3 linked regions of the Saccharomyces cerevisiae S288C genome follow. The protein of the gene in region 2 binds, or shares a complex with, the protein of the main gene of each other region. Links are inferred from orthologs where the notes say so. Each region holds a gene or a part of one and is shown on either strand. Other genes may lie near its edges. The genes, in order: ATG17, ATG31 and ATG29.

Region 1 (3,513 bases), on a different chromosome or scaffold from region 2:
ATAGTCGTACTCTCAGTGAGGCCAATCGTAGCAGGAATAACATGATTACTGCTCGAATAATTTCGCACAAGAACCCCAATAAAAAGGCAAGCTTTTCTGGAAGGGATCATCACACCTCAGGGTCCAATCATAGCCAATTTGTATTAGAACATAGCGACTCATTTGGCCCAAACAGTTTACTTTTTGGAAAATATTTAACAAGAACGTTATCCCACTCGTCCACTACGAGCAGTTTGGATAAAAGTGGAATTGTTTCCGGCACTTCGAGCACCTTTTTGGCAGGGTCACAGCCAAACACCAACACAGATTCACAGCACAAGCATGATTACTCACATTCGGGATAATATGTCAGAAGTTGTTCACTATAAAATATACGCATATGTAATCATTTATTTATTCATTCATGACTTTTAGTTGAAAAGGGCACATTTTTCTTTGTCGTAAAAGTGAAGAAGACAGCGAATTTTTTCCTTTCTCCTTCAAGTATTGCTTTTTTGATAAAGTATTTTTCGAAATATTGATACAATTATTGAATCTTTGTACCGTATCCTTTTTTTCCTTTTTTCTAAGGATTCTTCACGTTGTAATTTAAAGTGTACAGGGAAGAAAAATCGTCAATTTTACCGGGCCAGATTGTCTCAGGAAGATAAGTTCCATTTTCCGCTATAAAATTCTGACGTTCTTCCTGGTCCTGAGCATCTAAATTCTGCAACTGCTTTTCACAATCTTTCAATATAGTTTTCATTCTGTTTGCCACATCCTTTCTCCTCTTTGCTTCTAGAACTAAGTTACCGTAGCTTTCTTCAAAATTATCATAAAATTCACAAAGTTCCTTAGTTGTTTGAATATCTTGTGTACAGGAATTTTTGAAGCTATCAATCAGATTGGAAATATCTTTAAAGATTAATAGATATTCCAAATTTCTATTGAAATCGTTTATTATTTCAGAAACTTCGCTGTGTAGTTCTGTCTTTTCCTTTATTTTTGCCTGCAAAAATTGACCCAAGTTAAGAATTGTTTTGTCCACGTCATCAATTACCTCATGCAGAGTTTTGAAAATGTTGTATAGTTCTTTGTCGTCGCCTTGTACCACCTTAAACAGCTCCTCACGTTCATCGTTATCAATTTTTTTATCTTGTAACAGCAATGTCTTATCAAAGTGCTGTGTCAATGAATTCATTATCTCTGCTAAATCTTTTTCAAGGTCCGTTAGTTCCCTGCTAAACTGCTCTGCAACATTTGTTTCCATCAGGTTATCTATACCAAATTTACTTTGGAATTTTTGAGTTACGTCCGTCAACTTGGTATCAATCAGTTCTTTGTTAACTTTTCTGACCATATTTTCGTATTGAAGCTTAATGTTTTCAATTTGACGCTCAATTACTGGCACTTCTTTCAGTTTGTCATTCAATAAGTTAACGTTGTCTCTCGAGATGTAATCTCCTAGTTTAGAGGGATCGGTATCATCTTTTTCTGATATGCTCAATTCATTTACTATACCATCCAACCTTTGTACTTTAGAAGTGATTTCATATTGCCAGTACTTCATCTCATCAACTAAGACCACTAAGACAGCTTGATTCCATTGTTTCTGGATTAGCTTTGTCCCAATGCCTTCCTTTAAAATAGTGTAAAGAAACTTTCCTTGCTGTCTCAAGCCAACTATTAGAAAATTGAGTTTTGAAATACTCAACTGCCAAGATGACAATTTTTTCTTAATATCTACAATCCTTAAATTAGCACTTGAACATAAAAGTTGAGCATCGGTCAGCGTTTTCCTGGCATTATTAACAAATTTTGTAACATCTGCTTCGTTCATAGGTGTTAAATACGTTGATAATATCCTCGCAGTATCGAATTTATCGTACGTTATGCGACTTTCAAATAATTATCAAGTTAGGGATATCTTGCAATTTTTAATACTGAGGCCTTAGAGCGCGCATCTAGTATTTACATTATGTCAAAACAATAACAAAAATCCAAAATTTCGAAATAGTACAACCGAGAGAGGTCGAAGAACTTAAGCCTTCAGTACGCCAAAACATGGAGGATTCGGACTCCAACACAGATAAAAAGTTCTTTTTCAAAAAAAGAAGAATCGATTCCTATAATTATAGCGATGAGGAAGATAATAATTCAAGCATGAATAGTGACATGACATACACTAATGATGCCTTGAAAACTAGTAGCGGCAATGCCCCAACGATCTCAAAATTAACGAAGACATATGGTATTGGTGCGAAGTTACTTTCGAGTATGGGATATGTTGCGGGAAAAGGCCTTGGGAAGGATGGTTCTGGTATAACTACACCAATAGAAACCCAAAGCCGACCTATGCACAATGCAGGTCTAGGAATGTTTTCAAATACCAACTCCAGTAACTATCACAGTGAAAATGAGGATTACTTGAGCTCTGAGGATGAGGTGGTTGAAGGTATAGAACAAGTCAAATTCAATAAAACCTCCACGGAGGTTTTAGGCGAAGCGTTGTTAAATGATAGTGGTGATATGACTATAGTGCGAACACTGAGAGAATTGAGGTTAGCAGGGGTACAATTACCAGAGAGTATCCTAAAAGAATTAGACCCTTTAAATGCAGTACCAAAGCCGAAAAAAGATGTTGTTGTGGAGATATTGCAAGAGCTGCTGGGTATTGAAAAAAGTTTGGAAGCTATTCGTCAGCGCACCTCTCCGTTAGAAGTGCAAGTCAAAGAATATTATGGACAAGAGAGGCTTCTTTCTGAATTGGAGGTTACTTTGAGGGACGAAAGCAAGCATGTTTCCCTGTATGATAAGATTGGTGCTATTTTAAAATTGTCCGACGACGAGCTCATAGATAGGCTAACGTCCTGCTTATTGAGAAAAGAATTACTAATAGAATTTGATTTGGATCATTTAGAAAAGCCAAACGATATACTTGATGAGTTAACGCAAATTATAGAACTACTCGCATATAGAATGGATACAACTTCGAAATTTTTGAACAGGACACAAACAACAATCTTTAAAGTTATATATCCCAAACTCAAAAAATTTTGGGAAGGGTTTGATATGACTAAATCAAAAATCGACAGCGCTATCACCCTATTACTGGATTTCCAACAAGTGCTAAGTTTTATCGGGTGTAAAGAGCATATCATGGAGGAATTCGTCTATCCAAAGCTATTACAGGAATTAGATAATTGGGAACTTCACGATGAAGTAGACCATGTTTCGCCAAGAATATGGGTCTTGGATTTTATGGTTTTAATTGACGATAAGATCAAAGACACAATTGTGGACAAGATTGAAGCAAAATTTTTTGCTTATTGTAAAAATTGGTACCATAGGGAATCATTTTGTATCACTAATTCTGATATTATATTTATCAAAGAACTTATCTGCGAACGAAGATATTACAAAATTTTATGTAAAGAGTTTCTTCCTAAATTCCTGGACGAGCTGTGGGAAAGACATAATGACCCCATCTACGAGTTAGAGGATTGGAAGGAAAAACAGGAATGGAAAGAAAAA
Region 2 (3,177 bases):
TTGTTGTCAGCGCAACAATGAATAAGGACATTTTAGAAGTAACCAGAAAATTTATGAATGATCCAGTTAAAATCCTAGTGAAGAGGGATGAAATATCACTTGAAGGTATCAAACAATATGTCGTTAATGTTGACAAAGAAGAGTGGAAATTCGATACTCTGTGTGATATATACGATTCTTTGACCATTACACAATGTGTGATATTCTGTAACACCAAGAAAAAAGTAGATTGGTTATCTCAGCGGCTAATCCAATCAAACTTTGCTGTAGTCTCCATGCATGGTGATATGAAACAAGAAGAAAGAGATAAAGTAATGAATGATTTTAGAACAGGTCATTCTCGTGTACTGATATCGACGGATGTTTGGGCGCGCGGTATTGATGTCCAACAAGTTTCTTTAGTCATTAACTATGACCTACCAGAAATAATAGAAAATTACATCCATCGTATCGGTAGAAGTGGTCGATTTGGTAGAAAGGGTGTGGCTATAAACTTCATTACCAAAGCTGATTTAGCAAAACTTAGAGAAATTGAAAAATTCTATTCTATCAAAATAAATCCGATGCCAGCAAATTTTGCAGAATTATCATAAAATATAGAGAACATATACCTACATAAACAAGTTAAGAGAGTCTCATCCATGCGGCTTCATTTTTGCTTTCATACGGAATTGGAGAGCATTTGTAATTGTTCATTTTGTGTGACGTAGAGTTTAATTAAGTCATTCAAACTCAAATCGCGAAGAAAAGGAGACAGATCGCAAAATTGTGAAATTACATCGAGCTCAATGTCCGAGTCCACTCTGAATCTATCACTGTCAACGCTAAGTTCTTCCTCTTCATCATTAGATTTATCATCACCATGTGATGATAATGTTCTCATTTGGTTTTCCTCCAAGCTGAGACTATTTGTCCTATGTGACAAAAGCTCATATTGGTCGCTGATTAGTGTGATATCCTCAAGAGATCCCGATTCATCCAATTGGACAATTATGACATTTTCAAGTTCATCTCCGACCTTATCTATTCCTGCTGTCAAAGCAGCATCACTTGAATCTACTAGTTCATCATTGTTGTCCTCAAATATGTACTTAATGTTAGTGGGAAACATTGCATAATCACTTCCGTCCGTGCTCTTTGATTCATTATTGTATGCTGGTTGATCATCGTTGCTGGGACCCTTGTTATTTTTGATATTCTCTTCTAATCTGTACTTGACATTTTTATCATAAACAGTAACTGTAACATTCATTCCTGTTCGCAGATTTCAGCAATGTTTACCGGCTTAATAAGAAAATGGGAATGCGACGTTTATCTTGGATATTGACCACCCTTATATTATGGATATGTACTTCAAATTATTATCTTTTACGATAAAAAAGATTCTGATCCAACCGAGGTTCGAACTCGGGATCTTCGCCGTGTAAAGGCGACGTCTTGAACCACTGGACCATTGGACCGGAAACCCATTGGAAATGACTTAATCCCAATATCGCTATATTAAATGTAAAATAACTTTTTCAGGATAATCCACAAGAGTGGTGCTTCTGTCATTAAACTAATTTTTTTAAGGCCTGTTCGCCTATTATATGTCGAAAGTGTGTATTTCTTTCAAGTTATGCCTGCAATTCAAAGGACAGATTTATTTTACAGTGTCGACGACACCGTTTGAAAATGCAGATGCAGGACTGGGCACGTTTTACAATACGTATCGAGTCAAAAATACACTGATTTTGGTGATATTAGCTGCAGCATGGCGAATTTTTCACATATTACTGATAAGGATGGACATTATGTTTGACTTTTTTCCTTAGAGTAAGTATGGTCAGCAGAACAAAAAAGAGTTCCTACATTTATACGAAGGTAAAATTGTAAAAAACATGAATGCGGCCTATCCGGCTCGAAAATTGTTCCTCATATATATTAAAAAAAAATCACGTGGTGCAAAAAAAAATTTTTTTGTCATTTCTTCGAATCAACTCAATGAAATTTGAAAAATAGCAGAAAATAAGTTGATAAGATCGCAATGTAATATATATATATATATATATATATTACAATTCGTGAACTGGCACAAGGAAAAGCGTGTAATTAAAAATGTTGGACATCAACCAATTTATCGAAGATAAGGGTGGTAACCCAGAGCTAATCAGACAATCTCAGAAAGCAAGAAATGCCAGTGTTGAAATCGTCGATGAAATTATTTCCGACTACAAAGATTGGGTCAAAACAAGATTCGAATTAGATGAATTGAACAAGAAATTCAACAAGCTTCAAAAGGATATTGGTTTGAAGTTTAAAAACAAGGAAGACGCTTCCGGATTATTAGCCGAAAAAGAGAAGTTAACCCAACAAAAGAAGGAATTGACTGAAAAGGAGCAACAGGAAGATAAGGACTTGAAGAAAAAAGTTTTTCAAGTAGGAAATATCGTTCATCCATCTGTTGTTGTTTCCAACGATGAAGAAAACAATGAATTGGTCCGTACTTGGAAACCAGAGGATTTAGAAGCGGTTGGCCCCATTGCTTCTGTGACTGGTAAACCAGCTAGTTTATCCCATCATGAAATCTTGCTAAGATTAGATGGATATGATCCAGACCGTGGTGTAAAGATTTGTGGTCATAGAGGTTATTTCTTCAGAAATTATGGTGTTTTCTTGAACCAAGCTTTGATTAACTATGGTTTACAGTTCTTAGCTGCCAAGGGTTATATTCCTTTACAAGCTCCAGTCATGATGAATAAAGAACTTATGTCAAAAACTGCTCAACTATCTGAATTCGATGAAGAGTTATACAAAGTTATCGATGGTGAAGATGAAAAATACCTAATTGCTACCTCAGAACAACCTATCTCCGCTTACCACAGCGGTGAATGGTTTGAAAAGCCACAAGAGCAATTGCCAATTCACTATGTCGGTTACTCCTCTTGTTTCCGTAGAGAAGCCGGTTCTCACGGTAAGGATGCTTGGGGTGTCTTCAGAGTTCATGCTTTCGAAAAAATTGAACAATTCGTCATCACTGAACCTGAAAAATCTTGGGAGGAGTTTGAAAAGATGATCTCTTACTCTGAGGAATTTTATAAGTCTTTGAAATTACCATACCGTATCGTTGGTATCGTTTCCGGTGAATTAAACAATGCTGCCGCTAAAAAGTACGATTTAGAAGCCTGGTTCCCATAC
Region 3 (3,012 bases), on a different chromosome or scaffold from region 2:
ATTACCACCCACTTGCGAAGATGAATATTGCTGCATTAGGTTTGTGTGCGAGAGTTTGTTTAATCTTAAATATATGGATCCTCAGTGCATAACATACCGAGCTTTCAATATGTTACAATCGAATGAGCTTAGCAAAATATCTAAATTTCCTGTCTTACTGCACTTTCAAAAATTAGTATTTCAAACACTCTATATTCTATTACCTTCACATTTGCATAGAATGCTCTCCATACCGCTATTGAGACATATATTAGGTACTGAATATGGGAATGCTTTTGGTTTATGGCAAGAGGGCGAAGCCTCAGACAGCAGAGAATATTTTGGATACTGGGTATTTCCAGAAGCCTCCTATTTCAACCACTCTTGTAACCCCAATATAACGAAATATCGTAAAGGTAATTCAATGCTATTCACTATGAATAGAGATATAAAAAAGGATGAGCAGATCTGTATCGATTATTCCGGGGTACTGGACTTACCAACAGTAAAACGCCGGGCCTTTTTGGCCGACAGTTGGTTTTTTGATTGTGCTTGTGAAAGATGTAAATCAGAATTGCAATCTGTCCATTAGCGCTTCTTCCAACGCAGATTTACTAACACTTAAGCTCGAAGATAAATCGTCATCTGAACTACCGCACTCCATTTCTTTATTAATACCATCCTTATCCAATTTGTCATTAGGCTTATTCTCACTATCCGATGTTTTCTTGTGAATGTTCAAAATTTTGGAAGTTTGCAAATGTTGTAACGCCTCATTTGTTACTTCTGTCTCAACTTCTTCAGAATCCTGTCTTTCCGTGGTCAGTGGGCTTGCGGATACATTTAATAGATTATCATTTTGTAAAGTAGGGGTATATTTATGTATTAAATCAGACATCCCTTCATTCACTTGATCATTTGAATACTTCTCAAGATCTCTTTTTTTCTCCAATTGTAGTTGTAAAAGCTCTAAGTGTTCAGCAAATAATTTATATGTTCTCTTTTTAAGAAAAAATTCAGGCGTTTCAAATATTTTTGATAAATTCTGCCAATCTATTTGATCTTGTGAATAATTCAAATTTGATACCATTGTCCAAAGCTGTCGCTCCTTTGTTCCATTCCACTCAAATTTGGGAGGATCCAAGAATCCCTGTGGTCTCCTACCCTTAACTTTGATATATACAACTGTGTTTGTACTATTCATAATCATGAAAGTCAAGTAGGAAAATGCACAGCAGTACAATTATGTATGTCTCTTCTTGATAAGTATTCACTAACACCCCTTTATTTTCACCTTGAATCATTTTTTTGACGAGTGCAGTGCGTCTAGAAATAGTGTACTTGAAGAAAAAAGCCATCTCTGTAATAGAAGCACAAAACAAGAGAAAGTATTTGAGTCAATACAAAACTACAAGTTGTGGCGAAATAAAATGTTTGGAAATGTCGAGGGAGTCGAACGACACAATACAGAGCGATACGGTTAGATCATCCTCTAAATCAGACTATTTTAGAATCCAGCTAAATAATCAAGACTACTATATGTCAAAACCCACCTTTTTGGACCCATCGCACGGTGAAAGCCTGCCCTTAAACCAGTTTTCACAGGTCCCAAACATCAGGGTGTTTGGTGCTTTACCCACAGGGCATCAAGTATTGTGCCACGTCCATGGCATTCTACCTTACATGTTCATCAAGTATGATGGACAAATAACTGACACGAGTACATTGAGACACCAAAGATGTGCCCAAGTTCATAAAACGCTGGAAGTAAAAATTAGGGCATCCTTTAAAAGGAAAAAAGATGATAAACACGATTTAGCCGGCGACAAACTTGGAAATCTCAATTTTGTCGCTGATGTCTCTGTTGTAAAGGGTATACCATTTTATGGTTACCACGTTGGCTGGAATCTGTTTTACAAAATTTCTTTGCTTAATCCTTCTTGTCTAAGTAGGATTTCGGAATTGATTAGAGATGGCAAGATTTTCGGAAAGAAATTCGAAATTTATGAATCACATATTCCTTACTTGCTACAATGGACCGCAGATTTTAACTTATTTGGATGTTCATGGATAAACGTGGATAGGTGTTATTTTCGCTCTCCTGTTTTAAATAGTATACTGGACATAGATAAGCTGACAATTAATGATGATCTTCAGTTGTTACTAGATCGATTTTGTGACTTCAAGTGTAACGTACTCAGTAGAAGGGATTTTCCACGGGTTGGAAATGGATTGATTGAGATAGATATACTACCGCAATTCATCAAAAATAGAGAAAAGTTACAGCATAGAGATATACATCACGACTTTTTGGAAAAACTGGGAGATATTTCTGACATACCTGTCAAACCATATGTATCCTCTGCTAGGGACATGATAAATGAACTTACCATGCAACGAGAGGAGTTGTCCTTGAAGGAATATAAAGAACCACCAGAAACAAAGCGCCATGTGAGTGGTCATCAATGGCAATCTTCTGGAGAGTTCGAAGCGTTTTATAAGAAAGCACAACATAAAACAAGTACTTTTGATGGTCAAATACCAAATTTTGAGAACTTTATAGATAAGAATCAAAAATTCTCAGCCATAAATACGCCCTATGAAGCATTACCGCAATTGTGGCCAAGGCTTCCACAGATTGAAATAAACAATAATAGTATGCAAGATAAAAAGAACGACGACCAAGTTAATGCATCGTTCACCGAATACGAGATATGTGGTGTTGATAATGAGAACGAAGGTGTAAAAGGAAGCAATATAAAGTCTCGGTCTTATTCATGGTTACCGGAAAGCATTGCGTCTCCGAAAGATTCTACTATACTATTAGATCATCAAACAAAATATCACAATACGATAAATTTTTCAATGGATTGTGCTATGACGCAAAATATGGCAAGTAAACGAAAACTTAGATCATCTGTTTCTGCTAATAAAACATCGTTGCTGTCTCGGAAAAGAAAGAAGGTTATGGCTGCGGGATTACGCTATGGAAAAAGAGCCTTTGTTTATGGTGAGCCTCCTTTCGGTTATCAA

The links.
Region 1: the proteins of ATG31 (region 2) and ATG17 are in contact, whole or in part, in a crystal structure (PDB 4P1W), measured with the Lachancea thermotolerans proteins. The link is inferred for Saccharomyces cerevisiae S288C from one-to-one orthologs. Residues at the interface, in XP_002552568.1 of Lachancea thermotolerans: Ile73, Glu86, Ile88, Asp90, Gln91, Lys93, Leu110, Ser111, Arg112, Phe113, Glu114, Thr115, Pro116, Leu119, Gly120, Leu124, Glu125, Leu127, Val128, Leu130, Tyr131, Lys132, Gln134, Asn135, Asp136, Leu138, His139, Leu141, Phe142, Leu145; in XP_002553389.1 of Lachancea thermotolerans: Arg39, Lys43, Phe44, Ser46, Lys47, Leu48, His49, Phe50, Val51, Asp53, Cys54, Ile55, Gln57, Gln58, Lys60, Phe61, Leu62, Ile65, Leu66, Glu69, Gly70, Ile71, Asn74, Leu75, Gln283, Leu286, Ser287, Leu290, Leu293, Arg294.
Region 3: the proteins of ATG31 (region 2) and ATG29 are in contact, whole or in part, in a crystal structure (PDB 5JHF), measured with the Lachancea thermotolerans proteins. The link is inferred for Saccharomyces cerevisiae S288C from one-to-one orthologs. Residues at the interface, in XP_002552568.1 of Lachancea thermotolerans: Val9, Leu10, Pro12, Phe13, Val15, Val17, Gly34, His35, Pro36, Asp37, His38, Gln41, Val43, Met44, Phe45, Ala46, Thr47, Asn48, Val49, Lys50, Tyr51, Ile52, Phe53, Glu54, Asp55, Asp56, Glu58, Leu60, Asp65, Ile68; in XP_002553217.1 of Lachancea thermotolerans: Met1, Asn2, Ser3, Glu4, Asn5, Thr6, Ile7, Val8, Tyr9, Val10, Arg11, Val12, Ala13, Gly14, Arg15, Ala16, Arg17, Phe20, Asp22, Pro23, Lys25, Phe26, Tyr27, Trp28, Asp29, Leu30, Glu31, Asp33, Arg34, Trp37.

Annotation. Positions count from the first base shown.
Region 1 is NC_001144.5:971,352-974,864, forward strand, and holds ATG17 (protein kinase regulatory subunit ATG17), read right to left. Parts: upstream 1,820-3,513; coding exon 566-1,819; downstream 1-565. Other genes in the region: guanine nucleotide exchange factor DCK1, read left to right, coding at 1-344; mRNA splicing protein SPP382, read left to right, coding at 2,044-3,513. UniProt on the Saccharomyces cerevisiae protein: Autophagy-specific protein that functions with ATG13, ATG29, and CIS1/ATG31 in response to autophagy-inducing signals as a scaffold to recruit other ATG proteins to organize pre-autophagosomal structure (PAS) formation.
Region 2 is NC_001136.10:487,411-490,587, forward strand, and holds ATG31 (Atg31p), read right to left. Parts: upstream 1,253-3,177; coding exon 662-1,252; downstream 1-661. Other genes in the region: ATP-dependent RNA helicase FAL1, read left to right, coding at 1-593; serine--tRNA ligase SES1, read left to right, coding at 2,098-3,177. UniProt on the Saccharomyces cerevisiae protein: Plays a role in starvation-induced autophagy. Involved in mitophagy. Functions with ATG17 and ATG29 at the preautophagosomal structure (PAS) in order to form normal autophagosomes under starvation conditions.
Region 3 is NC_001148.4:235,515-238,526, reverse strand, and holds ATG29 (Atg29p), read right to left. Parts: upstream 1,190-3,012; coding exon 548-1,189; downstream 1-547. Other genes in the region: SET6 (Set6p), read left to right, coding at 1-571; REV3 (DNA-directed DNA polymerase), read left to right, coding at 1,420-3,012. UniProt on the Saccharomyces cerevisiae protein: Plays a role in autophagy. Functions at the preautophagosomal structure (PAS) in order to form normal autophagosomes under starvation conditions. Also plays a role in mitophagy and regulation of filamentous growth.